Linked DNA regions of Styela clava. Each later gene encodes a partner of the first gene's protein in a complex. Links are inferred from orthologs where the notes say so. Each region holds a gene or a part of one and is shown in the gene's direction. Other genes may lie near its edges. The genes, in order: nucleoporin p58/p45-like and nuclear pore complex protein Nup54-like.

Region 1 (17,088 bases):
TATGAAGTGTTTGTGCGTTCATTTTTAAGGTAATTCTCAAAAACAAATCTATTATTAGTTAACAATATTCATTTGGCAACAAAAATAAGTTAGACACATGTGTTTTGTTTATGTGACTCGATTGTATTGTAAAATTAATATCGGAGATAATAAAATTAATAGAGGCAATATTATGGTCCTTACTGTTATATTACGTTAACAGCAAAACCTATAGTATTTTTTATATTTCTGAGTCGCATTAGAATCTTGTTCTGTAACTAGTTAGTTAATAGTAGTTGTAACCAGTGGTGGGGTTCAATTTTTATGTCAACCGGTTTCATCACAAAAGTCATATTTTTCAAACGGTTCTGTTACAAAAAATTATTGACAGTAACCAATAATGCTAACCGGTTCGCTGATCTCATAAAATTCTGTGAGACGGTTCTATAGAACCGGTGCGAATCGGCTGAATCCCACAACTGGTGGCCATATCAGAATGACTTGAAAATGTAACGAAGCAGACTAAAAGTTACAAATGTTTGCCCAAAAATACCGTATGGCTTGTTGCAGAATTGTATCACTGGAGCGATATTATGGTATTTCGACATGCTTCTGTTTTGTTGGGTTTATTGCAGTTTAATTCGTAAATTATCGTCCAACAAACGAAAATTATAAAATGAATATTGACGTGCAATACGAGACCTATTTGAATAACCATCATGATTCTTCAAAAGTTTATTACTTTTGGCACGAGGTTAAGTCGTGAAAATCGGCTTCCAAAGTTATTAAGCTAATAAATATGATTTGTTCAGCAGATTTTGCCTCGCTTTATGAAACCTCTGGTATGTTGAAATGCACTTTATAACCATTAATGAAAATAAGATTTAATAAACGGATTAGTCTGCGGTTGGATAAGACGGAATAGCTGCCTGAATAAAACTTGAGAGAAGCAGACATATTTGAATCAAAACAATTCCGAGTAGGGCCTGTATAAACAATCGCGTTTGTCAATTCTTCGAATCATCACGAAAATTATGCTCGTGAAGAATGTGGTCTCTGGAGATGGAGTGACGGTATTGGATTTTGCTTACCCATACCGCGGCGGTATGAGTAATGCGGGAACAACTGATAGTTGTTTGAGAGCTTTACACACGTCTTCCATGTGATTTCATATGAATATATTTAATCGTCCATATTTTATGTATAGACCATATATATATATATATTTATGTATAGATCAGTATTGTACTAGATCACAGACTATATATATATATTAGAGAAGTTAAATGATATTAATTAGCTTATACCATTAATAATTGTCTTACCTTAATATTAGTGTAATCTATTGTTGGTATTCTTTTCATGCTGGTTGAATCTGTATACTAGAACTAGATCACAGTGCTGCATGCAGTGTAGAAATATATAATTTTACACATGCCCTCTGAACTCTACAATGAACCAGATATGAAGTGTCGACTAGTAGAAAACAAATTATCTGCCTGTCATTTTATTTTATATTGTCACAATCAGTGTTCCCTCTAAGGCAGTGGTTCTTAAAGTATGGGTCGCGACCCAAACATGGGTCGCGCAAGGTTTAAAAATGGGTCGCGACAAGGTCGTCAATGCAAGGGCAATCTAAGAGGAGAAGGAAGAATTTTCAGCTTTCCCAATGTTTCAATTTAGCTTCTAAACTCTGGTATTTAAAAATAATGAAATATAAAATTTCATTCACGGAAAGAACTGTCTTGAGCTCATTGTTACATCACAATTCTGATATGCCATTCACATGTATTATTTTTATGGTATCGGTAACCATGCACGTCGCTTGTCGTTGTGTTGACCGCGTGGAATGTCGTCTTAGTGGATTAGAATAACCAAAAAAGGGTGTCTTTTTGGTAATGTAAATTGTAATAGACGACGCAATGAAAAAGCTCGCTTCTCGACATTAGATCATTCAATATCTAGAGAAAATGTGACTTCATCTCGAGAGATACCAAAGGCCAGCTAGGATGTCGTGTTTGCGATGGACAGCGGACGCCTTTTCTGCTACAATTCGCGACAAGGCACTTGTGCGAGCGAGGATATTTGGCACTGACGGTTATCAAAACTAAGCTCGCAATCGCCTCGATACCCATGACAACTTGCGTATTGCGTTAAGTAAAATAGAGCTGTGTATTGAAGATATAATGAAAAGGAAATTTTAGTTTCATCAATCTCACTGAGTCAATGGACTGTTTCTAATAAATAGTTGTCTGTATTTGAGTCAAACTGTACTAACATTAAAAACACATTTTGCGTTATTTAGGATTGGGTCGCGAGTATTCATAAAACTCAGATTTGGGTCGCGCTCGGAAAAGTTTAAGAACCACTGCTCTAAGGTGTGCGCGTGTGCTCGCGCAGTAAAACGATCGAAAAAGAGGATTTTAGGTTGATAAACTTTGCAAGTCTAGAAATAAATGTTATACTCATAACAGTATTAAAAAAAAATTTTTAATTTGATTGGATGAAGATATCAATAAATTTGATAGTAAGTGCACAGAACAAGCATTGGAATGGCAATTTAGCAGCACTTCAAGCACGACATTATAAAATTGATTGATTACACAGTACTACATGAAAATATATGTGAATAGCTTATGGAGTTCCATCATGTGTGGACAGAACAAGTATATTCTGCCATGGCGGAGTTTAGAGTGCCGATATTAATGCTTCTTTCGATATTCAGTTACATGCTATTGGTTCATCTTTTTTCAATTTTTTTTGCAAATTTCTGGTGACGCCGAGGGCCGGACCATTTAAGAACTTATTAGGCTTTAAGTTGAGCTAACAAGTGCTCATTTGTAAGCTGTTTGCTGCATTTTGTCTTCCACGGCGTCATGATAACATTCTCACAGTAATAGGCTACGTGTTGCTGGGAGAAAAAACCATTTCTTGTGTATAATTTTTTTTCAAATTTGTGTAATGTCCATATACATAGCTCCTGTAACAATATGCTCATACTTTCGATTGCTCGTAATTTTGTTCTAATTTGATATTTTCCGGGAGATATTCGACAGGGTGCTGCTTTACTAAATATTTCTTCTCGAAAGACACTTTTCGATGAATATTTTCGAACCGTCATTGATCCACATTGATTTCGTAATTGATGGGAGTGTTTCTCAATATTGTTGCCTGTTTTGACACATTACGATAACTACATCCTGATTGTGTTTATAATGTATTTCAGACACCACTCAATGTCGAGCTATTCATAATCAACCTTGCTTTTTACTGGTAGAAATTTCAACTTTTTTAATCACAACAAGGCACCAATAAAAAATATCACATTATTAAAATCTTGTCAGAAGCATAGTCATTCCAGTGTGACGTAAACATGGTAATTCAAACTTCAAAAACACCGATAGGTTCGTTACAATGAGAAAAAGCATTATAAAATAATGGGATAGATCACTTACGTAGGCTTGCCATATGTCTGAAGCAAAAAACAGGGACAGTGTGGATTAGACAAGACTTAGTTATAGTTTAAACGTTTTACATACCATTGTGGATAGATTACGGGCACAAAAGTAAGCTATATTTGTGACCCATAGTGCATAACCGGGAGATTTAGGTCTACCAACTAAACCAACTTGCTGAAATCGGGACTCTCCCAACTAAACCGAGACCTATGGTAAGTCTACTCTTATGGAGCACGTAAATTGGCTCCGCGGACCGGACAGTGACCCACAAGCCGTATGTTATACCCCTCTGGTGATGTAGATCAGGGGTCGGCAACCTACGGCCCGCGGAGTAAAATAATCCGGCCCACGACGCTTCACTGAATTATAGTAACGAACCGACTGTTTTACCGCATATATTCTTTACGTAACATCATTTATTGGGATACACGTATAGACTAACTTATAATATAGCCCAACAAGTATATAATTCACAATTAGCTTATAATTTAATGGACCTTTCCCCGACTTTTGACCCCCGGGAAATTCTTCCATATTTCACTATTGTAAAATTTTCGGTGCTTATTTCAATAATGGATTGGCGAGTTGGAAATTACCGGTGAAGAACTTTAGCCTAGTCTATCACAGCTAGATTTGACAAACCATTCGAAAAAATTACACGAATGAACATTACAAAGAACAAGCTGAGAACTCGAATTGGTGATTCCCATTTTAGAAAATGTTTAAATCTTGGCTCCATCCAGTGTCCCGTGCCGCCTGATATCGAAATCATATCAAGCGTGCTGCAACAAAAAGTGTCGCATCAAATGTCATTTGTAATTTTTTTTTTCTTGTTCATGTAAGACGACTAAGTTGAGTTCACAAATTGTCGCAGTCTTCGCGTGCTGCTTAATAAACATCTTATATGTGTGAAAAATTGTTGATTCATCGGCCATCCGTTCGGTTTTTAACTTTCATAAAATATGTGCGGCCCGCCAAGTCCTGCAACTCATAATTTTGACCCGCGAGCGACAAAAGGTTGTGTGATGTAGATTGTTATCCCTCTTCACCACTTTTTGACATTTCCATTAGAGACCGACCAAGTGCAAAATACGAAAATAGCGCTGCCTGTAGCGTGCTATTCACAGAGGTGACTTCGAGCGTTGGCGCCTACAAACTGGTTTAATTTATCAAACCTTCATTTTTTATCTCTTGTATTGCCATGGCGCATTTATTCAGGCAATGTTTAGACTGTGAAGCAAATATTTTATTGTTCAGTAAATACGTAAAACTTCAGCGATTGGGTCAGGTGAGGGCGATTTGTCAGGGTTCGTAATGCAGTAATGTCTGAATGTCATGTGACAATTAAATTTATTTGTTTTGATCTATGAATTTGAACTCAATGCAGACTACGACTACGTTGTATTATTTTACGAAGCACGTCCGATTACCAGTCCATTTTGGATATGGTATTTTATATTTAATTTTGTCCTACTTCTGGACTTGACTTGAGTGATTGTGCATTATATTTCATATTGAAATGTGTACCAATGGCAGAATATCTATCTAAAAATATTTTACACTAAATTTACTTATAGGTATTTGTTTCTTATGTCAGTATGCTGGGCAGTGCTATAGTGATAAGGTAATATGTAATATAACATTTATAAGGGTCTTTTGTAGTTTCGTACCTAACATAGTCTACTTCTAGTGGGCGTAGCATGACGGGCGTAGCATGACATATTTTTCACGTATCAATTCTAACCCCCACCTGACTACACCATCCAAAAATTACGGCTTTACGACGCCACAGTGACGTAATAGAGCTCTTCAAACTATACAAACTGCCATCCAAGACGCGCAAACGAGCACCCGAAATCGAACAGATATTTTCTCGTCGCAACGATTCCAATAGGAGAGAGATTGATAATGTGAGTCAGTTCTTTATCGACGGCGCCAATCCCATTTCGGGTGATCCTACGTGTATTTAGCAAGCTTTATGACTTGATTGTGATGTCATAGTGATGTAATTTTTGGATGCCGTAGTCAGATGGGGCTTAGGATTGACATATTGAAAATTAATAATGCTAAGCCCACTAAGAGTACGTTTGGTACGAAACTACACAAGACCCCATTTATAGTTGGCACTTTGGTATGCCGTCTCACTCAACATTATCTCAATTGCATGAAGAGATTCTCGTAGTATTCGGTTTCTAATCCTAAGTAACATCACATAGATCTCACAACCATTGCTGCCTTAAGATCGCATACCAAATTAGCACACCAACACTCTTTCTTTTCTGCCTTTCATAAATTTTAAAATATTTTTTTCTACAGGTATCTGATAACAGTTATGTTATTAAACATTGTATTCTTGGTACTAATTAATGGAATACATTGTGTTATCAGCAAAAACATTACAAGTCAAACTGTTCTGAAATTTGGGCCGTTAGCGCTTTCTGAATACTCTGACGTTGGTAGTCAAGAAGTAATATATGCACCTATTCCTGCTTCGTACCTTCCTAATTTTTCATTTGAATGGACGGGCGGAATTGAGAACACTGGTTCTGGTTCACCTGAATCATGCCCCCATGTAAAAATCATGGTTTTGGTGCGAAAGTGGGGTTTACCGGTCCCCAACCCCACGGGTGCTACATACCCAGATAACACATGGCTGAATTTGAACGAAACAGCTATTGGGGGGTTTCGTATAACCCAATCCCTTCCAAACCGACACGACGAATACATCATGATTTTCTCTGATGAAGGGAATACAACAGGAGAATTTTACATTTCTGTTTTTATCGAAAAACCTGTTCAAAGCAGAATTGAAATACCGAATGAATGCGAATACATAGTTCAACTCATCATCAAAGCATATAGCGATCTTCCATTGGATATAGCCGTCATGACAAGTGAGAATTATTTTGATACACTGGATACAAATCAATATGAAAATAATATATTCTTAGATCGGTACAGAAACGGCCTACTGAGTACAGATTACATTACGTCAAAAGAAGGGTACAATATAAGTACAAATAAATCGTTAAAATTCAGCTGGATCGTACAACCTTATTCTGATGTTGGTGGTACTTTAAGAATAAAACTTAGTTTTAACTCATCTTTATTATCAAAAAACGATACAATTTTGTTACGTGGATGTGCGACATGGAACAGCGATACACCATTCACTTACGATACATGTGAAAACGGGCACAGTTTAATTGTAAATTCATCACAAGATGCTTATGATATATGGTACTGGCCGTTTCCAAAAGGTGGTCTGTGGGCTCTAGATGTTGGAATTGAATGCATCGAAGGAGATTGTGATAATACTGATATCAATATAAATCTCGATACAAATATCGTTCAGTGCATTGATTCATGTCATTCTGGTACATCTCAAGGTGAATGCAAAATTTACCGCACTGATATCTTATTTTTCTCGGCTTGTGATTGTAGAGGAGGTTGGCAAGGCATTGCTTGCACTGATGGTACAAATGCAGTACCTCGAAGCAAACAACTACTTGTTGTACTCCTGCTAACTCTAAGTAATATAATATTTTTTCCTTGTGGCGTACTGGCAATTATGAAAGGATTTTACTCAGAGTCGATAGTTTACTTTTTTGTTATGTTTTTTTCAACATTCTATCATGCTTGTGACAATGATTTTGCAGCTTCTGTATGTATCATGCCCTATAATACTTTACAGTTTTCCGATTTTTTGGGATCTATTTCAGCGATGTGGGTAACTTTGATTGCGATGTGCCGCCTTCCTTTTATCCTTGAATCATGTTTTCATATTGCGGGGTTGATGGCAATTAGCGTTGGTGTTACAGATAACAGATTCAGTGTTTTTACTACGTTAGTTCCAGTGCTGTGTGGACTGTTTATCCTTGCAATTAGGTGGGGAAGGCAATGTAAGGCTTCACATACTTGCTATCCAGCAAAACGTGTCTGGTTGTTTTCATTCATACCAGGAGCATTATGTGCCATTTTAGGTTTTGTATTATTTGTATTTGTTGAGGATCCAGATAATTATTTTTATGTACACAGCATGTGGCATGTTTTAATGGGATCAGCAGTTTTATTTTTGATCCCAAAAGAAAAGAAATTTTCTTCCCAAGTTGACGTTGAATCGGAGGATGGCAGCATATCTGGTACTCATTATAATAATGTAAATGCCACAGATTCAACCACTTTTCATCTAGAATTATCTGATGATTCTTCATAGTGGGAAACATTGTTTTATATGCACATTAGGCAGATAGATTAAGTACAGACCTCAAGATTCTTAATTTTGTTATAAACATGTCACAAGCAGGGATATTCATACAGAATGTTCCAAAACTCTGCACTGAACTTCATTTTTATAATACCAGCATGATGGTGTTGCAGCTGAAGTATTAGACTTATGTGTTGGCATTGTAGATTACACATCTTGTGTTCAAACCCTGTGTACCCCACTTCACCCAATGTGGTAAATTGGATAAGTCATTCAAAATAATAGTAGCTCGTTAAGTCGTTAGATATTGAGGGCTTGCTTGTATAAGATAGTATAATTCTGCATATTTGACAAAATCATCTCTGTAAATGATCATCAATTTATATTCTAATTTTTCACTATGGTATTTTAAATAGCCTAAACATTGGTCCTTATAAACTTTTACTGCTAGTATTTTTCTTCATCAAATTTTTTTTTAAATAACAGTTATAGAATGTAAAAAACATTTCAATGAGTGGTTTTAAATAAGCTTTGTATAGTGAACCTCAATAATATGTTTCACTTGATATAGTGATTAAATTCTCAGGGATAATTTTGTTACTGTTATATTAATAATAGACATTTGTTTGTCTCAGATTTAGAATTCCAGCTATTTTTCATTCTTATTTATTCTCAATTTATCTGGTCTATCTTTTGTAATAGTTGAAATATTGAATTGGCAACAATACATTGGTTCAGCATTTATATAGGATAAAAAAACGTATCCCGCCTCAAGTTATTTACCTTCTTGAAAGTTTTCTTCAATTTGAGTTTTTTTTTCATATAATTATTTTTTTCATAATTTTTCACGTTTTCTGACTGAAACGGCATTTTTTTCATGTCTTTCTCTCTCTCTCTGCTGATGAGACCCAAATCTTGCATATTTTGCATAGAAATTTTTTTCAATTCTCCATTTGTTAGCAATGAATATTTTTCTAAAACCCATTTTCAGATTATCATGCTTCATTTACTATAAAAATTTATACATGGTACGCTACTCCTTTCAAAAACCCTGTTAAAAAAGATGTTTTTATGCCAATTATGCGGTATTTTAATCGGTATATGTGACCTTAGGTTAATTTTTTTTTTCATTGCTCCATTATTCAGTAATCAGTGCTTTCATTTTTATGGTACAATTCCAGTCATATTGTAAATAAACGATTATGGGAAGCTACAGAAAGTTCCTGTCCTGTGCCCAGTATTATCTAACTTATATGGAAGCTTTATACCAATTTATATTAAAGTTTCATGAATGTTCTTTATTGCATATTTTTGTGTTTTGTAAATATTTTTCAGTTTGAAGCATTTTTAGATCAGATTGAATTACTGCATATCCTCGCATATAAGCCGACCCCCTGAAAACGACCTTAAAACAACGAATTCTTAAAAATTCCCATAAAAGCTAAACCTACAAATCGTGAGAACTTAGCATGGTTCGAGTTGTAGCTGTTGGAATTAAGTTAGCACAATTTCACTCGTTTGAATGCAATCAGAGTTATGCACGTTTAAGTCGACCCCTTGCTTTGGCAACTCTTCCTTGAGTTTTACACTCTGCTAATATGCGATGATATACTGTAAGAGATGTGCTGTATTTTTTATGATTCAATAGTGTGCCGTGTTCATAAAATCTAGCTTAGTTTGATTTAGAAAGTTATTCTATGTGTTAGTTGTTTTAAGTCTATATTAAGTTTGGTATTATAAAAACTCTGATGATTAAAACTCTGACTGTTTCTCTGCCTTTGTGTTAGGAGTAATAGGAATTATGCAAGGATGTTATTGAAAAATTCAAAACTGCTTTTTTGTATCGTTCAAACGGTATTGTCACAGTTTCACAAATTTTATTTTGTAACTTTTGTGAAAAAGAAATTTACTTGAATTTCATATGAAATTGGTCTTATATAATGAAAATGTTCCATTTTCTTAAAGGTAAATATGAATAATAAATATCTTCCATATATATACTCCAATTTCTAATGTATTATTAACAAAACATTAGCATTTTATTTCTGTATGGTACAGGTTGGCCTTTCAAAAAAGCAGAACTTGGGTCATTTGAAAATATTCTAGAGACAAAATAACTTCACATGTGCAAAGCGTCCTAGATTTCATTAAACATTTTGGATACATTCCATACACAAACAACAAGTGTTGATCGAATTTTTTCATTTTCATTGGAGTAATTAAGAAACATATGGCTTCTGTTTTTTGGGTTTGCTGTACGTTATTTAATAGACACATTCAAGATTTTTCCAGTTTTCTAATTTCTGTACAATATTCTAGTCTACTGGGCAACAAATATGTTCTGAATGTTTCAGTTCAGTTAAATAAAATTTTCCAGTTTGGTACTGTTTACTTTTCGATTTCTCATATCTGCCGTTATGTTATGTTTGATTTCGTTCTTATTGTGTTTACTCTATCTGTATTTGTACAACTTTAATTGTAAAATTCAATTGTGGTTTCCTGGTTGTTCTGTTTATTTTGCACTGTTTAACTCTTCTAATTATTTCTTCTTTTTGTTAATCATGATATCACCTTTTTTCAGATTTTGCGATTTTAGAATTAGTCAATTTTTTTTGGTAAAAGAGTGAAATCTGAAATGGCTTTCAGTTTTGGTAATACGGGTGCTTCGAAACCTGGATTTTCATTTGGGTAAGTTGATGCCTGAAACTAAATCGCAAAAATTTTTTTTCCGCTCTGTAAGTTGGGTACAGAATGAATACGCTAAATATTCCATTGTTCTGACAATATCAAGTTGAAACAGGATGGAAATTTCATATTTCTCCCCGGGGAGAGGAAATTCGATAATATGGCTTCATAATAATATGGAAATACAAGCTCCCCCGTCTAGTAACCAGTTTATGTCGGTAATGGGAATAGTTGATATTTAAAAGAAATCTTAATTTCACATATATCAACATTTGCCATGGCGAGCTTCTTACTTTGAATCAGATATAATTTATCTTATATTTTTAATCAGATCGTCAACGGCAACAACGAAAGCAACTGGTACAGTTCAGCCTTTTGGTTTTGGGAATGCTACAACTTCATCTGCTCCGAGTGCGAGCACCGGTTTCAGTTTTGGAAATACATCGTCACAACCTGCCAAAGCAACATCAAGCTCGCTCTTTGGTGCCTCCGCTAACACAACTACTTCAACTGGGCTGGGTGGGTCAGGATTCGGCGGAGGTATATTACCTATCATTTGCTTGTTCCATGAAAGTTAAAAAAAAACGTCTTCAGTAATTGAATAGTTTGTTGGTAAATACAATAAACTTGGAAAGTATTATTTTTCAATGTGCTTATCCAGTCATGATGACTGAAAGAATCATTTGAATAATATTAAGTTCATTAATAAAATGATTTTAGCATGGTTAACATCATCTTCATTTTTTTGATGTGTGTGTTGATGGACCAAAACTATGATTTGATAACAACCTTTGTATGTACCACAGTTATCAATATTCTATTGCCCGAAATGATAAATTTGTGCAAAATGTTGATCCATTCGAAAAATAGTTTAAATTTTTTTGAGGATACTAACAATTGAAATTCATCACGATTTTGGTTCAAGTTGTATCTATTTATATAAAGTTATAGTTGAATTGGAAAACTGAATTAAAGACAATGACATTCAATTTGGGACATTTTATACAAACTAGCCACAAAGCACAATCTGTTCGAAGTTTGAAAACAAGAATCCTAATTTACATTTCAGGATTTAAGCTTGGTGGATCTACAGCAACAACAGCATCAGGTACTTAACATAGTAAAATTATAATTCCTATTTAAAGCATGTTGTTTATGTTGATTGCCATTCATTAGAACAAATTTATACACTTTTTATACTGTATCTCTTGTATCATATTTTGACAAAATTTTGAAATATATGATAAATTTGCCATAAAAGAATTTTTTATCAGAATTGTTTGGATAAGGGATCAATAGTTAAAATTTTTATCTGAGTTTCATTCTTTATTTGGTAATGATTATAACAGCAAGAGGGTGTTCATAGAGTTCAGTTTACAATTTCAATTCTGTTATGGAGTCGTTTTTCAATATATCTTAACCAGGTTGTTTATTTCAATCATTATTTATTTATTTGAGTTTTAACTTCAATACACTCGTTGGGGCCAACAAACTATATATGGTATCGATAAATTCTCTTCGGAATTCGAAAATTAATTAAAACTTTATAAACACTTTATATATCTTGTTCTTTCGATCTTGCGTATTTCTTAAATTTAACGTTATCCTTTTATGGCATTATCACTATATATAGTTATTAATAAAATCAGGTTTCTTATTTGGCGGCAACACCGGATTATCTCTTGGGAATACCGGTGGCAGTTTAACGGCCACATCAACCACAGGATCGGCTTTTGGCACAAGCGCAGCAACTACATCGGCACCTGCTTTCAGAGGACTCGGAGGTGTCTCGTCGACCGCCAGCACAAGTAATCAAAGCGACGGTAATGGCAACAAAAATAACGGCGTAGGACAAGCGTTGAAGGAACAGCAAGTCCCAGATGAATTGTGCAAGGATGTTAAAGATTTTGAGTTAGTATGACCGTTTAGAATAACCGTTTTTAATTAAAATGTGTTCAAACAGACTTGAAATTAATTAGCCTAATAAAGAAAGCTAAATAAAAGAGTATTTAAGTAATGCTGACAATTTTAATTACAATATAGTATACATGCGGATGTGGTTTAGGTCAACTTTCTAAGGCAAATGTTGCTTGGAAACAATCTTAAAATTGAGTATTTTTAAACTGGGCCTTGGGCCCCTATTCAGAAGGCTGTTCAAACAGTACTGTAGGTGCCACAAGCAAAAGCTTCCACTGGCTGTCACTCATAATGAATTAGTTAATTTAAAGTAATTTGACTGTAATACATTTACCTATACTTCATCTTCTTATCTATTTGCTTTTTTATTAAACGTGGCGCATCAATTATCAATTACCGGTACCTCTGCTTCAAATAATTGACGTAATATTCCCACTTGTTACTGGGATAATTTTCTCAAAATTGGTTTGGTTTTCATACGTTCATTATTTTTATCTTACTCATTCAGGAATTTTGTGAAGAAGCAAAAAGAAGGAAGTAACACCATCGGTAAATTTTCAATTCGATCACTTCGTAAAATACAAGAAGAAGTTTCGTCACTTTCTTATGCTCTCGGCAGTGTTTCATCAGCCTTACATAGGTAGGTTCACCATTCGTTTTTAAATATGCACCGTAGAACTGAGTAATAATAATTTATTTATATATATATAGATATTCAAATTCTGTTTGACATTTTTTAAATTTTGTACTTGAGTTAATTGATATTTCGTTCGCTGAGGTAGGAATGAAATAGCCTACGATTGATCATATAGCCTAGGCTCTATTGAAAAAAAGGTTGTATCTTGGGTCTGTCTGATGTAAAATAGGAAAAAAGTATTGTTGCCTTCAGTTCAGCGGTTTCCAACCGGGGACACCCCAAGGGGACCACACAACAGTTGGAGGGGGGGGGGCGACAATGCTACGCGCAAAAATCGACAATTACTCGTTTTTGTAGTTTCATTGCTTGCTAAGGTTATTTCACAGGGTGTTTTCACTTCAATGAGCATAAATTGTTTGAACATAGTGGAATTTGGATTCTACCTCTGGAATGATAAATGGGGGACATAAGCGGTGAAAGCCCTTGTAAGGGGGCCACAAGCCATTGAAGGTTGGGAACCGCTGCTTTAGTCCATTCATAACCATGAATAACATGGTTGTTCTTAGTTTTACTTAGTCCTTCGCACCTCATTTAACTGGTATAATAGGTTAATTGTTCATCTCTAAGATTGTTGTCTGAAGTGAGGATTTAAACATTCTACCAAAATATTGTGAGTTAGTCACTGTGTATTGCTTTATTACTAGGAACAACGCTGCAGTTCAAAAGTTACGTTCTGATTTTACTGAAGAATTACGATACATTGAAATAGCGAAACATACTCAAGATATTCCACCTTCATTACAACACGATAATATTGCTCCTATCAAGTGAGTAAATGAAATATTTTGATATCAAAAATATGGAAAAATCACAATTTATACACAGAGTTAGGCAACCTATTAAGTGGGCGAATAGGGCCGCTTTAATAGAGGAATATAACAACACAATCATATTTTTGATTTTCTTTCATTGCTGTATCAGTTCAATATATGGGAATATTTCCGAAATTTTGCAATATCAATATTTGGATTGTAGCTGTTTTCCTGGTGAACTGCTTTAAGTTCTTGCACCAACCGATAATTACTGTTACGTAATTCGCGCTATATTGATTTATAGTCTCAGTAGCACTCTCACTTCGCGCAGAGATTGATCACCTATATTTTCGAGTAAGTGTGCCTGACTTTCGAGCGAATTTCCCAGTGAAAAATTGTTGATTTTATTACAATTGTAAAAAGTTGTGAAATAATGAATCCGTTTTAGACAACAGCAGACAACATACAAAGTAACAACAAAGTTTATTGGCATTTTGCTTATAATTTATACATCCGAAAATATTCGTACCAAGATGACGCACAACCTGAACAACCCTAAACTGGTACACATACCATACTATTTATTTCAGGTTTTTTATGAACATGTTATCAGAATTTGAATCAAGTATACAAATATATAGAAAACAAATTGAAGAATTAGAAAATCATCTTAGCTTAACCGATCAGTCTATCAATTTAACACCACAAGGTATGTTTCACCTTCATATTGGTTACTTTGCTGATGTATTATTTATATTATAAAAATCAGGACATCGTATAGTTTTGGTTGTTAATAAACTCGTATTACTTTTCATCAAAATACTTCAAGTTGTGATCAGATACTATCTTAAAGAGCTATTTCTTATTTATTTATTTTTCAAATTGAAGTATTTGCCCTTTTGTCGAGCCTGAGTATTACTCACTTTTCATGTAATGCATTTTTAAAATAATCTGATTGATTTTTGTGATCATGCCATGTCTCTTAAATTGCAGGATGGAAGTGTCAGATTCTTTATAGCCAGTTAATCAATTTAATAAGCCTATTAAGGATCTCTCCAATCGTATAGCTGTGTCAATTTATCACATTTTGGTCATTTCAAACCTTCGTAGTTGTGTGTGTACAAAATGTATTTGTTTTCACTGTATCACATTGCTTGTTCTGAAATGTGACGTCCCTGACGTGACTAGTAGTGTCGGCTTCCAAATATCAACTTGGTTTGCAATGCGCTCATGACACATGATGCGAATGTCGTATTCAATTCAATATACTTAGTTGACGTCTCGAAAGATTAGTTGCGGGTCATTGTTTTCTGTTGGTCAAGAATGGAATGTCCTACATAGCTACTTCTGCATTTTGTACAAATAATTCTTACCTTTATTACGATGATAATATTTTATAGCACTTTCAATATGATTTTGGTTTCAATTTATCTTTTTTATGTTTTTAGATATTTATGTGGCTTTATGCAAGATGCAGGAATCTTTTATCGCACTTGCGGCTAATCTACATTCTATACATGATCAAGTCAAGGTATGAATTGCTATTTATATTACTAATGCATTACAGTCGGAATTTGATTTAAAATTTTTTATTACTTACTTCCATCATTTGATCATTTAAACAAGAAAGCAATGCTAAAAAATCAGGGTATTTGGGTTATGATACAATGAATCTAGCTGGCATGAGTCTTTTTGTACATGAAGTTGACCTTTGGAGCGTTTTGTTATTACATTGTCATTGATCTTGTTAGGATTTCTTCTTCATGTTCATTTTGGTTGGTTGAAGATTGTTCGCTAGAAGGCTTTAACTTTTAGTTGCCCTATTGGATTCGTTATTTGTGTGTGATAATTAAAAATTGCGCATCTTGTGGTCAGCTGGAGACGTGAAGACTGCGCAGTGTCAGATCACATAACCATACGTCCATACTACTTCGTTGAATTGATCTAGCTAAAATGTGTCAAAACAAATTGCACAATGTTGCTATGTAGTTGCAAATGTGCCAGTAATAAATCCGTTAATATCAATATTTTTAAGATTCTTAAAGAACAATATCTGGTTTATCGAAGAATTGTACATAATGATACTTTCGACATTTTTGCTGCAAATAAACAGAAGCTTACGCAAGGTAAATCTTGATGATGTTTCTTCATTTGTCTGACATGGTAATAAAATAGGCCAAATTATAAAAAATCGAACTCTCATGCACCTGCCCATTTATTTGGGTAAACCAGTGCTTTAGTTTAAGATACATTGCCATGTTATATACCTGAAATGATATACTTTTCCGATTTGGTGGTATCCTAATTAATAAGCTATGTGATCAGAGGCTTCGAAAGACGGGAAAATAAGGGATTATGAGTCTATCCTAGGTTCATTTAACATTTTAATATAGTGAAGTTCTCGCTGCAATTCTTAATGTACTATATTAATTCTGTACATCATGTTGTAAAATTTTGTATAAAGTGTCAAACAAAATTGAATGAAAACTCTATGAGAATACATTCAACAATGACATATTTGAGAGAAAAATATCTAGTTGATGCATTTTCTACACAGAAAAATCTCAAAAGACTTCCGGCTTATCTCCGTTCAACCAACTCAGTAATGTTGCTGCTTTAGCTATGGCATCAATGGTTAATCAGCAAAGTCAACAGCAACAGGGACCACCTCAACAAGGTCTTTTGTCCACACAACCAGCTGGTAGGTGATGATAGGGAATGGCAGTATCATTGCAAAAGGGCATGTGTAACACTTGTTTTAAATTATGTCATCCCTATTTCGTATCAGGTGGTACAGGACTATTTGGCGGAGCAAACAAACCTATTGGCACTGCAAGTTTATTTGGTGGTGGATCTACAACCACTGGATCAAAGTTCGGAGGTTTTAGTGGGTTTGGTTCAACTACTAAACCCCTCAGTGCAGGTACAAATTTCTCACAAGAATACCTTTGAAGGTTTCTCTGGATTGTTTTGCTAAATTGTAGGGTTGACGGTTTCTGTTATTTGGATAAATGGCATTTTTGCGCGAGGTGGTACTTTTAGTTTCCTCAGGATCCAATAATTGAAGCGGAAGGAACACTTGTATATTAATTCCGCTGATCATTTTGGCAACTGTTTTTAGGGTTTGGCACATCTGCTACACAATCCACTGGCTTGTTCGGCAACACTTCATCACTCAACACGAGTGCTGGACTCACTTTTGGTGGTTCTGCTGCCACTGGTAGTACATTTGAATTGAAACGTCCTCCTCTGGGCAATAAACGTGGGAAGAAATGACTAGGACGCACCGCTTCTAGTTGATGATGTAGACAAGACACGCCCTCATCGACTGGAGCGGTAGATGATAGCAACTTACATTTATTTGAAGCACTGAGAAGAATGTCATCGGACTAA
Region 2 (16,232 bases), about 2.5 Mb from region 1:
TTACCGAAATTTCTTTCGAAAGAAATTTTTTCGAATATTGTTTGAACAAATTCATTTTCATTGTATTTCAGCTTTTATTTGAATTTCTTGCGTTTAAACATGATGTGCATTATTGGAAGGAAAGGAAAACAATGGAAGGTCTTTCATTAAATACTGTTATATACAGGTAAGTTTTCTGTATTAAAAAGTATATTTCTTAATCTCTATTCTCAAGTAAAGTAATTATCATATTTCCCGGCGAATAAGTCGCTCTTCTAGACCCAAATGATTGGGGCCCCAAATGGCCTGATTTTTTTTGGGGGGGGGGGGGTCATCTTATTAGGCGAGTATGATAATTTTCATTTTTTTGGTGTCGCCTTATCATGTATTAGGTAATGTTCTTTTATGGTGGAGGCAATTGCGAGTCAAACACAATTAGATTAAAATTTAAAAACAGTTTGAATCCCCGTAGTTATTATGGATTGAATATTACGCTACAAGAAAACGTAATTTGAGATTCCGATGTTGATGCGATTTTACTACTCCGACTTATTACTTACTCCGAGGTTATATTATCGGGTAGACTTATTTGCCGGGAAATACGGTATTTATATGTGCAATACATATTGCCAGTTAATAATATTTCTATATGATACCCTTCAATACTATTTTGTTTGTGTTTGCCCAAAATTTCTTTTATGTGTGACATGTATTCTTAAAATTTATCCTGGCCATCAAATTTTGAATAACATTTTTGTATAGATACAAAACAAGTAAATCAAATGATCTGGTTGGTGTTTTTTGTTTCATTAAACGACTTCCAAGAAATGAAGATTTAGTACAGTGCTTCCCAAAATGAAGAGATAAATTGGCTTTTGTAAGCAGTGTACTTTTTTATTATTATTATTTTCCTATTAGGTGTGTGAGCACCTTCATTATATTTCTATATCTGATGGATGAACAAACTAGCTATATTGTCTTAGTACCTGCTGGCATAGGATCTATTATTGAAATATGGAAAGTAACGAAGGCATTAAAAGTTAAAATCATTAAAAATGGTTGGAAGTTTTCAGTGCAATTTGGCACACTTTCTGGAAAGGAGAAAACTACTGATAACTATGATCACCAGGCAAGTTTGATTTTTTTTAGTAAAACCTAGGATATATCTATATCTTATTTATGTAATTTCTAATTGTTGCAAATCTCAGAATGTGAAAAAAGGATGAAAAACTGAACTTTGCTGGGTTTTTTCATACTATCATAGAGATCCAGTATACAGCTATTTCATCAATGCAATTTAGCTTAACGTTGTATGGCATGAACTGCATATTATTATGACTAATATAATATCACCAGAAAAAAAAAAAATATATATATATATATAACTACATTTAGGCCAAGATAAAAAGTGGATTAACTTTAATTTTGTTGTTGAAAGTATACATGATAAGTTTGTTTTAAAATTCTAATATCTGTTTTATACAGGCAATCAAATATCTATCCTATATTCTTTATCCATTGAGTGTGTTTGGAGCAATTTACTCGCTCTTCTATGTCCCTCAGAAAGGGTGAGTAGAATGGTAGTTAACTTATAAGTAAACATTATTGAAAATATTCCCCCTCTCACAATATCATAAACAATGGGTCCCTAGGGGAGATTTTAGGGCACTCCCGTTACCCTAGTATATGTACTAGATTAGGGTTAGGCAATCATTTTATTCCGATTTTCCGCTTTCTAGTGTAACTGGAACTATTTTAGTTCTATTACGAGTGTAGCCGATCGAATAAACCCTTATAGGTTTCAGTCTCTTTATACAACTTGATGAGAAGTAGGCGAACAAAATTAGTTACCTCCATATTGGTACATACACTTCTGAAGTGCCGATTTTAATACATTGAAGTTACAGTATCACACTTTCTGAATATTGTCATAGGGACATACATATTTTCTATATGATTTCAGTACTTTGCGAAATATTTGTTACTTCCTCATATCTAATGCATTATATTCTAATTTCAGATGGTACTCTTGGGTGATCAATAGTTTAGTTAATGGTGAGTATATTCTCATTGCCTTGGAAATATATTAATTTTTATTAAATTATATAAGTTGGTAATAGGCAACCCGTAAATATGAATTAATATTTCAATTTTCTGAGTCTTCTCGAGATTTTTTTGTTATTGTTGATACTATGTATGTAAACTCAAACTTACATCTTTTTTTATACAGGTGTATATGCATTTGGATTTCTATTCATGTTGCCACAACTTTTTATCAATTATAAATTAAAATCGGTAGCACATTTACCATGGAAGGCATTTACATATAAGGTATGATACTTTGGTTTTTCCTTAGGATTGACTACGCCTATTAATAATACAGTTTCATTTATTTAAAATTCACAAAATATTTGATTTTACTCTTGCTGTAATTGTTCTTATTTTAGGCATTCAACACCTTTATTGATGATGTTTTTGCATTCATTATTAAAATGCCGACTAGTCATAGAATTGCTTGTTTTCGTGATGATGTCGTTTTCTTCTGTTACTTGTATCAAAGATGGTAAGTTGGTATTTCATTTTTTTTAATCAATTTTTTGTGATACAGTCTACTTTTATCATGAATTTTAATCATTTATTTTGTACAAATAAATGTTCGTATTTTTAAACCAAAAGTAAAATGATATTGATGAAAGAGTTGCGCTTGTGGAATTTATTTCTCTGACTTGTGTCCTACCAAATTGTCCACCAAAGAAATCTATTTACAACTGTTAACTTGTCAGTAGTTGTAGTCATTTCCATTTTCTGAGAATTGTCTTTGAATTAAAGTGAGGATTTGCTTTGAGCAAACTTGTTAATATTTTGGGATTTCATATCTGTTTTGCGCCCAAATGGAAATAGTTTGATCATGCTTATATTTAGTTAACAGAAACGATTATTTGTTATTTCTTTATGTATTATTAGGTTATATCCTGTGGATAAAAAAAGAGCGAATGAATATGGCATATCTTATGAAGAAGACAAAAAAGAAAAATAGTTTCCACTGTTCCGATGAAGCTTTTCCTAATAGTTTTATACATCAACAGTGTTTGAAGCTGCTTATTTATATTATTTTGTTCCATTTGGTCTAGGAAATGACTTGAAGCGTGTACTCGTGTTTGGTTACTGAATTAAATTTTAATGGGGGAACTCGGATATTTGTATTGAACTGCAGGTCCTTTCTACTTGATTACCTTCTCTTCCGGATCCGTATGTGGTACTCACCACAAGGATGCTTGAACAAGATAGTAAATTTTTAGTATTTAGAACTTCTTTTTCGAATACCTCATCAGCTCTTGTTGATTTCAATATATGGACTTGTTTCTGTCCCAATACTTATTGCATAAATTATTTTGACACATTTACTGCTCTGTCTAACCAAATAAATTCAGATTAAAGAAAAGCATACGATTGATTCGTTTTTGAAATTTGTAGCCTTAACCTACCTTATGAATGAAAAAATTATCAATCAATGAACAAATTAAAGGGCTTGGCTTTGAATCCCATGTTCATAATTATTAAGTGCCATCGATTTAATGGACTATGTGGTTCACATAAGCTGGTTGATTATTGTCCATTGCATCAGAGGCTAAATGGTTCCATTCCATGAATAGGTACAAACATGCTCATCTCCATGTCTTGCACCACAACACCAAAGTCCTGTGTACTGAAATTTTTTCTCTCTTTGCAGAGTTTGTTACAGGCAGAAATTTTACTTTCGTGAATTAACCAAAGTTTTGGCAATAATGGTGCAATACTCTTATATCAGCTTTTTTATATTCATGCCCTTGGTATTATCATAGTGTTCTACTTGGTGTCCGAAACAGTGCAATAAGGCCTGGTCACATAAGTTTCTTTGTTAGATGCTGCGGTTGGTTTGCAAATTGTAGGATTTGAGTTGTTGGGCTGGAGACACAAATATATTGTAACCGGACGCGCCATACATACACACAGTAGATTCGTTATTCACTGTGCTACACTGCCGTTAGTTATACTTGCTGTGGAATTTTACTGGACTGTGACTTGTAATACTGTGTCGAGGGTTAGCTACGGAAGTAGATTGACAACACCGCCCAATAAGCAGAAATAAGACCTGTTGAACCTCGAACTCTACAGAGTTATCTAATAATCTCAATACACCGAACAAGATTTCAACTCACTCGCTATGAAAGTATATGAACCTGGCAGAGCATTTATTAGTATTCAGCTGGACCTACCCACACTGGCACAATGACAAACACACCTCATTGACTAAAGTTTGATTGAAAGTGGACACCAGCGTATAAATTTTATTCCTTCACAGTGGGAAAGTATTGAAACATAGCAATTTAGATACTGAAGAGCATGGTAAAAGAAGATTTCCATGAAAGGCAGGAATACATGAAAGATATCAACCCAAATCAATACATAATGTGCATGCCTGAGTGTGAAACTGGAATTCTCAACATTGAAAAATGACCGGTTTGATTGAATCAGAAGATGACCTTTGCCCCCCTCTCTCCTGGACAAACCCATTCAATAAACTCTTCCTCCATGCTAGATGAAATAGGTTCTGGTGAAACACTTGGTACGAGCACTCGATCGTGATAATAGGTATATACTTCAAGATTCCGTTTCCTAAAATCAGAGAATTATTCATTTGTATTTTACAGTTGACATCTTCTCTGGTGATTCAAAAAGACTTCTCTCTCATAATAGTTTAATGAATGTCTTGCAACCCAACCCAGTCACCCCATCTACGTGGCAATAAAGTGGGTAGACTCCAGCCATCCCCAGAACTGTAGCTCCTTACATATAATTGGGAACGGCTCATGGAAATATCAATAGACATGTTTGCCTTTCAAAGAAATCTTATGACACATAGCAATTCTCAAGTACACTGAGTTTGCTGAAAAGACAAGCATGATAGAATAATAAGTTCATCCCTTTAATTCAAAACAGCAAAATTATGGGAAGCATATACAAAACACAGAGTTAACAATTTTATACATGACCAACATAGCTTACTGTACCAACCTGCAAACCAAGTCGACCAAGCAGTCATCAGGCATATTGTTACAATCAGTCAAATCTAAAAATTCCAGTCTAGGTAATGTTTTATCCAAATCATTCAACCATTTATCTCCTTCAATACCGAATAAACCAATTAGCGACATCCGTTTCAGTTTTCTGAACAGAGAAGAATATAGATATAGTGTATAATGCCAAAATTCTCATTTAAATGCAACTATAGATGTGGAAATTGGTTTCAATCAGTGTTGAGTAGAGGTTGCAAAAGTGCGACAAGTCGAGTCATTGATCATCCAAGTCTCGAATCGAGTAAATGACTCAAGTCTCCTCAACTTCTCCCAATAAATAGAAAATAAACTCCTTGGGAGTCATAGTAGATTTTATAAACAACAATGGGTTAGGTATCTATGAGTGAGGTGATCAAATCAAGTATTTGAAAAGAGGGCTTAAGCCTGGCCCTTGACACACCCCAAAACACTGATGCAGCCAACTTCAATTATTCGCACAACTATATCATTAAATAAGAGATGACTTGAAAATAAGTTAGAAATTCCATTTTATATAGTACTATGTGATATAAGGGCTTTAAGAGATAATGATAGCAATTTGATGTTCAAGATAAATATGAACAAATTTAGTTTATATTTCATTCGCAACCTATCATACTTGCAGTTATCAACGACTCCACACATTCCTTTATCAGTGATCTTCCAGCACCAATCTATAGTGAGAAGTTCGAGTTGTGGGCAGCTTAAAACAGGAAATTTTATTTATAACATTAGCGGCTGAATTAGGTTACTCAACATTCATTTATAGCAGCAACATCTTGTGTTAACTCCTATCCTGGCTTATATAGCTGCCATTTGTTGTTTTATGCGAGCTTGACCACAATGGCAGGTAACAATAGTTTTACTAGGCTATTTTGTTTCCCTCTTATTGAGGTTATCTGGAAAGCCCAGATCTAACTATATTTATAAGAGTATACCATATCAGAAAATGTTATCCTAGAATATACTATGTTGGCTCAATCATATGGTGAACCACCACCGGTTACCAGTCCGTGCCAGTTACTTGCTCCAGATGCATGGACTTGATGGAGTAAGCCTGGACCGACCAGTGGTTACCGTAACCAGCCTGTGATGGCAAGGAGTCCAGTGATACTCTCTTACATAATTATCCCTCACAGGATAAGATCTGAGTGTGAAACAGCAAAATGTAATCAGAGGTGTAATAACAAGCGTGTTCTTAACACATAGCACTATGTGCCAACTGCCGATGGTTCAAGATTCCAGTTAATAAAAAAAAAAGGCAGATAATTAATTATCAACAATACCTGTATGACATAGAAATAAGTGCATCATCATCCATGTATTCACATTCTGTTATTGTAAAACTTTTAATATTAAATATAGAAGACGAATGAAATAATTTGCATATTGATGCTCCGGTGAGGTTTGAAGCTTTCCTGAATTTCAAACTTTCAAGTCTATAAAAATAAGAAGTAAAATTATTTTAATGCATATTTATAAAAAAGGGGGTTCTTAATTTAATCAAACCAAAAGATTTAAATGATGAAAAAGAATATTCAAACATTCAAACATAATATGGTTTTTTTTCCTGTTCCTTTTATATTTGATTGTTTCTAGAATCAGTTGCCGAACTATGAACTCTTCAGTCTTCACTGTCACTAAATACAGCTTTGCTGTGTTTATTTTACAGATATTAAACAAACTGTGTTTTTCGCAAGTTTCAAAACTTGTCTATCCAAAAAAATAAACACTTCAGGTCTTCATGTGGATTGACTTAAACTGCTTCAAATCTTGCATCAATCAAAGTTTGCTAGCATCTGATGCATAGCATATATTCAGTAGCTCTCAGTTTAACTTAAAGTTGCCCACAACTTTGCTTAGATATGACTCATATAAAAGTAATAAAACTCCTTTACTTCTGGGTGGGTGTGTCTCTACTTTGAGCAAATTATTTATAAATAAGTTTCATAAAACAAGGTAATAAGAGCAATTGTTTGCACTTTAAACCAATTTCATGTATAACATCCCTCCCTTATTATTTTCACTAGAAAACTTACTTATATCTTCCTTGAAACGAATAAACACTGATATCGGAGAGTGATTGACAAAAAGAAAGCTCAAAAACAATTAATCCTGGTAAATGTGATGTTGCAAATAAAACAAGGTCATCTGTCATTTCTTCACCATCTAGAATTAACTTTTCCATTGAAGGTTGATGACGTATGAAATTGACCAAACCACTGTAGATTGAAAATTCAAGAGATCAGACAGACAGTAACTAAAAGTATCATGTGCAAGTGATATGTACAGGAATACATACCAAAGATATTTTCAAATATAAGAATCAAGAATATTTTTTAGTTCTATGGTCTAACAGCCACGGTGCAAGCCCACCACTCACCCAGAGTATAATAAATTGGGTATTTGTTAATAACTTCTACAAAAATGAAAAAATTTATTAGATTTTGTTTTGCTTCAACTTCTGTTTGTGCATGATTGTACCCGAAATTTCCTGATCTCGAAACTCAAGGCATGAAAGATACAATTGCAAGCGTTGCGCAAAATCGTCACAAATCACAAACACACATCACTATGGGGATTTTTCTGATTTTTGTTGCAATTGCAGTTTTAAGTTCACCAATTGATTGGGGAATGTTCTGATACACCCCATCCTTCGAATACCCCCACAGATAAAAAATATGATGTGTTCAAGTCCAATGAGGTGAGGGATTGACTGAGTTGGGGATTGCCAATTTGAGTCTGCGAATACAAGTCTGTCTCCTATGCTTATTAAGAGGTGAATTGGAACATTTTCTAGAGAGAACATAACTTATGTGTAAAACGTCCTAGATTCCTGGAATTTTTGGGTACAATGATGCACAAACAGAAGTCCAATTAGAAAGTAAATCACCCTTATTTTGGGTCACCCTGTAGAAGCGAACTCAAAGTTTTACTAACCTTTCAGTAGTTCGCATTACTCCGTCGCAACTAAGTTCTTTAAGATTAGGAAGATGATATAAATATAATAAGAATTTGTTCGTCAATAAGACACAGTATGATACACACAATTTTTTCAGCTTAGAAAGCAGAAATATTTCAGAAAAATCATCATCTGCGATGCAACTAAAATGAAACAGAAAACGAAAATAGGTATGAAAAAAGTATATTATCCAGCTATGGTGTTTAATCTTCTTACAATTGGAAGAGATCACCAACTCGGACAAAGTAAAACAGACAATTGGCTAGAAAAATCAGAGGCAAGTGACTAGAAAAATCATTTGAAAATAATGCATTTTTTAGAAGTTTTTCCCACGCCTATTCTATGATGCATTGTCGCTTGGTGGCATCACGCTTTTTTACACAAGCTGTCTGGACATTCCACTTGTACTATTCAACAACAATACCATAAACAAGCATCACTTGGCCATATGCCAAATAAAGAAAATCAATATGAAACCAGGGTATGTTAGAATCGGCAGTCTAAAAATAAATCCTACCTGCAACCTTCCAAGCAAAGAGATTGAAGATTTGTGCAATGTTTACAAATAGTTGATAAATCCACATCATCACAGAATCCAATATCTAATTCCTGCAAGTTTGTGCACATGCACAAATACTGTAAAGTTGTGTCTTGTAGCCCACAATCATTAAAAAATCTGCTCATCTTTATCGAGTATACAAATGAGTGGAATATCCTTAATATTGTTTCAAAATCAGAATTAGACACATTCGAAGGTGCCATATCACCGTGTTTTTCAATCATAACTTGAATATCCTTATGCATTTTATGAAAATCAATGTCCCTCCATAGTGAAGTGTCACGACATAAATTATTCCATCTTTTGCAAACTTTGCATACATTAAAATACAGTTCCGCTTGTGGTAAATATTTTAATATATTTAACCATATTTCTTGAGGTAATGATAACCAGTCAACATTCTCCACAAAAGGTTGTTCAGCACATCTGCTGTCGATCAACGAGACAATCTCTGATGACAAATTACAATCATCCCCCATTTTCAAATTTTCTATTTTTGTCCATTGGTTATCAAAACAGATAAAGACTATCAGATTCTGTGATAAGATACAGAAGAAGAAGTTTTTGGAAAGTAATATACAAATTAGCGATTTAACATGTCTGCATGTGCTTATCAGGTAGCAAAAATTGTTGAGCCAGGCCAACTAGAAGTACGTACGGCAGTTAGTGAACATGCGCCAAATAAAATAGTATAATATTCATCAAAACAATAAACCCTGAATGATCTGCTGGGGCATGTTCACAACACGACGTAAGTACTACAGCACCGGTATTAGGGGTCTTCTGAAGTACACGCCGCAAGTACTTTTTGGGTGACGTACTCAGGTGGGGTTAGGACTATTGGGTCTGGTATAGTTTAGTACCACATGCACTTCTAGTTGGCCTGACTCAACCATTTTTGCATATGCCAATCTTAACCCCCACCTGACTACGTCACCGAAAAATTACGTCATTTCGACGTCACATTGGCGTAATAACCCCACCACAAAGTGTGCAGATGGTCGCCCAAACGCGCAGACGATCACCCGAGATCGAGCAATCAATTTCTCCCGTTTTCTCGTCACAACAATCACGATAGGAGAGAGATCGCCAGCTTTAGCAAGTTTGTTATCGGCGGCGCGGATGCCATTTGCCCATTTCGGGCGATCGTAATTATACTTTGGCAATCCCTATGACGTGATGGTGACGTCACAGTGACTTCATTTTTGGATGACATAGTCAGGTGGGGGTTATGAATAGCATATGCAAAATTCGTTATGCTACGCCCACCGGAAGTACTTGTGGTACTATACTAGACCCGATTATTCATGCAGCAAACTTTCCTATGTTCGCCCATTGCAGTATTGGCTATATTACTAAGAAATGTATAAGATGAAATGATAAACGTTTCAACAGTACAGCAGTAAAACACATAATACTGTAATAATATTGGCGCAATAAGACTAGGAAACCACCCACCATCCATATTATTCAGTTATTGATAAATCAACCATTTTCACCAACCTAAACAAACCTGCAAACACCAGACCACTGGCGGGATTGTAGAGTGCAGAGCAGATCAAGTCCAAAGTGACTATAAGTCGTGTTGTGCAGGGAAGCCATGATTGATGATTTGAGTGGGATTTTCCGCGATGGAGAAAAGGATTTATGTGTGAGTGAGGAGTTGGTTTTGACTCGATTAATGACTCAATTAGATTTATTTTATGTGATAAGGTTTTTGTTGATTGAAACGATTTAAGTTCATTATTCTTTCATTCAATAAACTATCTATCTATCTATCTATCAATATGCGTCGCCCGAGAGCTGCACGATAGCCATTTTTCACGTAAACCCTTCCTATTGCCATTTGTTTGTCTTTTATTATATCGAGTTCAAAAGCAAAACCTGGGGCCGTGAATCAGAAGTTTAGGTTGTGCACGTTTAGGAGCCTGTGAGTGAATAGGCAATGGTGATGGTATCCTAGCTTCAGCTATGGTAGGTAATTATCTCTACCCAAATAGGCCTATATTGCGTCTGTTTAGACAAAATCCTAATTAAGCTCAGATACCGTAATTACCGGAATCATTTTAAGGTTAATTTCAATTATAATTTTATTAGGTCCAAGCCCAATTGTCTGATATTACTACAGAAAGTCAGCATGTTGGTTTATGTCAATTATCAGATTATTGACACAAACCATGTCCGCATGTTGTATAACTTGTATTCATAACTCAGTAATTGCAGTATTGTGACTGATGTTTGCCTTCTAATTCTGCCTGAAGTTGTTTCATACACTGATGCTGATGTTCTTTCCGCAGCTTTATTTTGAATAATCCATGTTGTGAACCCATCACAAAAAAGTGGGGAGCATTTCGCTTTTACCTTGATCATAACGCATAAGCCTACTACTGTACTACAGCCTGACAGCGGTGGTAAACTACAGTCAGACAGTTGTGTGATCTTAAGATGGCGTTTAGTTTTGGCAATAAAACTGCTGGAACTGGATCATTGTTCGGGCAAAGCGGCACAACTTCAGGTAATTTTATGATTCATATTACGGTGCTATAATAAACTAAATACAGAAATATGTTTTGATAAAGAAAGCAGTACAGTCGGTTTAGTAGGCCCACATACAGACATATGCCATACGTATTTGCCATTGAAATTTAGAACTTCATGTAACCTCAAGGCTGCAATTTGCGAACAAAATTGAAATTTATTCACTAATTAGTGCAGTGATGACAATTCTACATGTTTGTATTAAATACCCGACTGTTAGTACTGTGATTTGCGATTTTTTGTGTTGTGTTATTTGTTAAAGTTAAAACAGTTCAAAAATTGGCATTCGTTTGGTGGATGAGCTGAGTTTCTTGTGATTTTTGACTTTATTACCCTTCTGGCAGTATGGTTACCTACTCCAGTACTCTACTTATTTGTTTGCTTAATTTTACTTTTTCAATTTCCATGTTTCATTTTAAAGTAGTCAAAAAAAATCAATGAAAAAAGAATGTTTTGTTTAGCTAAATAGTAAGATGTTGCTTTTGAACCACATAAAACCTGCTGTTACTTGGGATTTAAACATTTACTATTCCAGGACTAAAAACTGTGTTTTAATCACGCTTCCTTTATCTTGCATTTCTTCAGGTCTGATGGTATATTTTTTTATTTTACAGCTTTTGGGGCTAAACCTGCCACAACTGCTTCTGCTTTTACATTCGGAGCAGGATCTTCTTCAGTCACAGGTGAGAAAAATTGAATGGTTGAATCTTAGTGTACTTGTTTGTACTTTTAAACATTATATTATGAGTTTTATTTTTTTGCTATGAATGTGGTGATGTAAAACAGGGGTGTGCAAAGTGAGGCCCGCAAAGGAAAATTTTGCTGTCGAATTTATTATCTATGCCTATGACGTTGCAACGTCCTGACAGCAAGGCAAACAACTTGATTCGCAAAGCTGTCCCCTGCTGAGCAGCGAACAATTTAAGAAAAATATGGAGCAGACGCTAATGAACTTGTAAGAACAGGCAATTGAAGTTTAGGCAACTGGCAAGCAGTTTAGCAAGAATTTATATTATAGATATACAAGAGCTAAATGAGTTCTGGTTTCAATGTATCAATTGATTTTGTCTAAATCTAATCTAGAATAACGAAAACACCAAGATAACTTTCTACATTTAAAAAAAGTCGTGGCTTCAACTTTGGCAATATCATGCGTTTCAAACCATCATTTCGGCAAGGAACCTCTAATGATGGCATGAGATCAATAGCAAAAAGACACTATTTTGTGCCTGCAACTAATAGAAAGCCTACGTTAAATGGTGGTGTGGCTCGCGGCTCCACCCAAATTGAATTGAAATTATTGAAATTTGGCCCGCCTGAGAAAAAAGTTGCACACCCCTGATGTAAAAGATTGAAGTTTTTTTATTCTTGATTTCATTTCATATTTTATATTCAATGCTTGGATCAAATTATTTATTAAAAATATAAATTATTTTGTCAATATGAATTAAAAAATTTTTTTTTATCTCAGTAAAGTTAATGCAATTAAAATGTTGTTATTTTCAAAATTTTATGTATTATTATCAAGTGATTAAAAATAAAATGAATTTCAACTTTTGCCAAGCCTATGTTGGTAACCGTCTTAATGCCCAATATAAGGTATTCATATTTTTGCAATTTTGTTCAAAGGTTTTGGAGCCAAGACTACCGCTAGTATATTTGGGGGAGGAAATACTGGTACTTCAGGTTAGTGTGTATGTGAAGTTAGTATATAAGTATATAATGCATGGCAATGACATAGGACAATCGAAACTTGACATCGTGGGACTGCACACAATGATAGCGCATGAAAATAAGAATATAAAATAGATGTAGTCTTCATTAACTTCCCATGTTTGATGTGAGTTATAATTGGATAGTTTTCTTCACCTAACGTTATCTTTTTATTACATCTAGCATTCAGTGGATTTGGAAAGACGACAACAACTGCTTCTACAGGATTTTCAACAGGTATTCAAACCTGATCAGAGAGTGTTTTTTCCACTCATTCATATTCATGTGTTACCGCAATGCTCTTATTCTGGAAGCCCGATTAGAGAGTATAATATCATCATGTTTTTTTTCACATGTAGCCTATCTATGTCACAAATGATTCCCTTTAAAAATTTGTCATCCTGACCTGATCATCTGTCATATGTAAATATAGTCGACATCCTCTATTTGCAAAGATGTGAATAATTCAGTTTTTTTCAGCCCTGAAGTTAAGTTTTGTTGTGGTGAACCAATGATTCTTTTCGATAAATGTTATTTAGATCAGGGTGGTCCAAGGTCGTGGGCTCCGCGGGCCACAAAAATATTTTGGCATTGGTCGCGGGCCACAATAGTATCAAGAATAGGTAAATAGTGCAGTACAAAACAAGCACTTCTATTGTGTAAACACATAGTTATCAGGCATTGCCAACCAAAGCTAATGAAATCCGCATTCGATTTTTAGTTTTCTATTATGCCTATATTGTTAGCAAATATCCCCAACCAAAACGATAGAAATCTAGGTAACAATTTAAACTGACCATCACATCATTCAACTTTGCTAGTTGCTTCAGCTAGCCATCATACTAGTCAATTCAGTCACAGTGGTAATATAACAACAATATGTCAAACGATTTTTCTGATTTATTTTATAAGAAGCAATTTAAAATACAATATTTTGATTACTCTTCGAATGCGGCGCGGGCCACAGATAATGAAGCGGCGGGCCAAATGTGGCCCGCGGGCCTGGGTTTGGACCACCCTGATTTTAGATTCCTTTTACTTTGACTGTTAGACATACACTTTTGTTTGAGCTGCTAGTATTTTTTCAATTATTTTTAATGAGTATTTATTTGAATTTTAGGATTCACTTCAACTTTAGGAGGAGGTGGATTATTTGGAGGAAATCAACAACAACAACAGCAGCAACAACAACAAGTTCAAAACAGTCAGGATCCCGGAACTACACTTCTTTTAAATACAGCTTCAGCGCTGTCTGCTCCTATCGTGTTTGGTGATGAGAGAGATGCGATTCTCGCTAAATGGAATCAGATTCAAGCATTCTGGGGAACTGGTAGAGGTTTTTATCGAAAAGATGGATCACATGTGACTTTTACTCCAGAGAATCATTTCTGTCGCTTCAAGGTAGAACATTTAATAGCTGAATGAAATTCGTCCTTAAGATTTTGTATCACGATTTGAACATTTTCTTACTTATGACGAATTTCTTGTTTTTGGCCAATGGCCATTTCCGTAATGTTAACCGGTTCTTAGTTGAAGATGGTATAAGATTGTGATATTTTTCAATAACATGTAATTGCTTTTAGATTGACCAATTAACATCTTTTTTATATGGCGTATTTAAAAGTTTTTCACTCTGAACAAGGCACTGTATAAGCATCCACTGCTAGTGCTAAGCAAAGTGCTAATATACAATGAAAAGACCAATATCTTCCCCGTTTGGCATTGCCTCCTCAATTTAGTACCCTGGGTTGGTTGTGTTCATGGGATTTTTAACCTGTGAGACTGTGATATAGTTGATGCAGACGTTTTAACCACTAACCATCGGGATAAATATCGAAATCAAAATTATCATGTTGAGATCTACATGCTTTTCAACTGCTTATTTCGATGGATCCTTCATTTGGACCAATCAACAAGATATTTATTTAATCATTATGTCATTCCTGTTTGTTAAATTCTAGTAAACAACTGATGTTTTTTGAATTTCTACAAATCTTAATTAGAGTTGAATTATATTTTCTCTCAGGCAGTGGGATATAGCTGTCTTCCAAAAACGAAAGATGATGAAGGACTGCTTGCAATCGTGGTGAATAAAAAAGAATCCGAAATTACTTCAGTCGGAAATGATAAAATATCAAGCGTTATTCATGGGATATTAGAATCAAAACCCAATTTGTCAGTCAAAGTGGATTCCGTCAGATCGCTACCAGGAGACAGGTATGTATGATACGTTTTTCAAAAATGGATCAGCATTTATATTTCTCACATTATAGATATAAGCCTTTGCAAATAATTACAGCAATTGGATGTGATTGGTTGTTTATAAAATCTGTAAGTTTTTTTTCCCATTTTACTTATTTATCTATCTATCTTTGCAAACAAATGTCTCTATACAGAACAGAGATAACAGTCTATGTAGAGGAGCAGTCGGCTGCCACTGGCACAATTAAAAGAGTACCAGCATCAGAACTCCACGCATTCGTCAGCCAACGTCGTATACAACAGCAACTGCAACAAAATATGGCTGCAGTATCATGCATGCCCAGAGCGGCTATGAGACCTGAACAGATTAAACAGATTTTGGAAAATCCTCCATCTGGTAGATAATTTTAATTTAGCTTTATTTGTGTTTTTTCATATCTTGCTATTTCCATATTGTTGTTTGATTTAGAAGTATTGGGATTTGGGTAGGTTTTTATATTTATTCCATAAGTTTGAGTTAAATTGATAGCATGTATGTTGGCATATCATGCCTGTTGACATAGCTCCTTTAAAGACATTTTGTTTGAATCAAGATTTCTATGGGGACAATTATGTTCTGTCAATTCACGGCTGTACTATTTACAAGCGACTCCGGTGTAAGAAAAATTTTGAATCATAGGAAAGCAAGTTTTGATAACGAAAACTTTGGTGTATGCGAGCTTTCGTCGATAAACTGTTAACTCATTGTTTTTGAGGAAAGTTTTGACTACCGGTACTTTAACCTCTAGTCAAAGTTGTTGATTGGAAATTCTAATTTTTACTCTGGGGAGTTATAAATGTAACTCTTTTGATCGACTAGTTGTGACATTATCTAAACCACAGAGTTCGTGCATCTGTATCGATTGACAGAATAACTATTCCCATATCCAACCTGAAATAATCAGAGGGGATTCTGCGATTCACCGTCCTATAGCAATTGATTATTGGTTTAAATTCAATGAACTTTATCACACAGCTACGTCCCCCTCTCCAACTGAACTATAACAATAGTTTGTGCCTTATTTTAAAATTTCTCAATACTTTACTTATTTCAGGAATCGATGCTGTAATATGGGAGCAAGCTAAAGCAGATAATCCAGATCCAACATCCTTAATTCCAGTTCCAATGATTGGATTCAGTGAA

Evidence for each region.
Region 2: the proteins of nucleoporin p58/p45-like (region 1) and nuclear pore complex protein Nup54-like are in contact, whole or in part, in a crystal structure (PDB 4JO7), measured with the Homo sapiens proteins. The link is inferred for Styela clava from reciprocal best matches to the Homo sapiens genes NUP58 and NUP54. Residues at the interface, in NP_054808.1 of Homo sapiens: Pro342, Tyr345, Phe346, Leu349, Val350, Phe353, Gln356, Leu357, Tyr360, Gln363, Ile364, Leu367, Leu371, Gln374, Ser378, Ile392, Tyr393, Phe396, Leu399, Ala400, Leu403, Ile406, His407, Val410, Lys414, Tyr417, Tyr420, Arg421; in NP_059122.2 of Homo sapiens: Tyr453, Leu459, Glu462, His466, Leu467, Gln469, Gln470, Gln471, Gly473, Leu474, His476, Leu477, Ile478, Ile480, Ile481, Asp484, Leu485, Ile488, Lys489, Leu490, Val491.

The regions. Positions count from the first base shown.
Region 1 is NC_135262.1:10,605,381-10,622,468, forward strand, and holds the start of nucleoporin p58/p45-like, read left to right. Parts: upstream 1-10,214; 5' UTR 10,215-10,279; coding exon 10,280-10,332; intron 10,333-10,660; coding exon 10,661-10,869; intron 10,870-11,398; coding exon 11,399-11,437; intron 11,438-11,978; coding exon 11,979-12,240; intron 12,241-12,754; coding exon 12,755-12,886; intron 12,887-13,587; coding exon 13,588-13,710; intron 13,711-14,285; coding exon 14,286-14,404; intron 14,405-15,143; coding exon 15,144-15,226; intron 15,227-15,730; coding exon 15,731-15,821; intron 15,822-16,252; coding exon 16,253-16,396; intron 16,397-16,483; coding exon 16,484-16,618; intron 16,619-16,816; coding exon 16,817-16,971; 3' UTR 16,972-17,088. Other genes in the region: transmembrane protein 8B-like, read left to right, coding at 5,770-7,653. UniProt on the Homo sapiens protein: Component of the nuclear pore complex, a complex required for the trafficking across the nuclear membrane.
Region 2 is NC_135262.1:8,080,658-8,096,889, forward strand, and holds the start of nuclear pore complex protein Nup54-like, read left to right. Parts: upstream 1-10,183; 5' UTR 10,184-10,247; intron 10,248-10,433; exon of another isoform or gene 10,434-10,570; intron 10,571-10,893; 5' UTR 10,894-11,041; coding exon 11,042-11,111; intron 11,112-11,748; coding exon 11,749-11,817; intron 11,818-12,763; coding exon 12,764-12,820; intron 12,821-13,030; coding exon 13,031-13,084; intron 13,085-13,967; coding exon 13,968-14,248; intron 14,249-14,873; coding exon 14,874-15,064; intron 15,065-15,243; coding exon 15,244-15,446; intron 15,447-16,143; coding exon 16,144-16,232. Other genes in the region: lipid scramblase CLPTM1L-like, read left to right, coding at 72-166, 898-1,108, 1,465-1,547, 2,000-2,034, 2,210-2,310, 2,427-2,542, 2,944-3,016; F-box and leucine-rich repeat protein 13-like, read right to left, coding at 4,491-4,635, 5,035-5,187, 5,695-5,778, 6,362-6,514, 7,115-7,297, 8,016-8,180, 8,555-9,075. UniProt on the Homo sapiens protein: Component of the nuclear pore complex, a complex required for the trafficking across the nuclear membrane.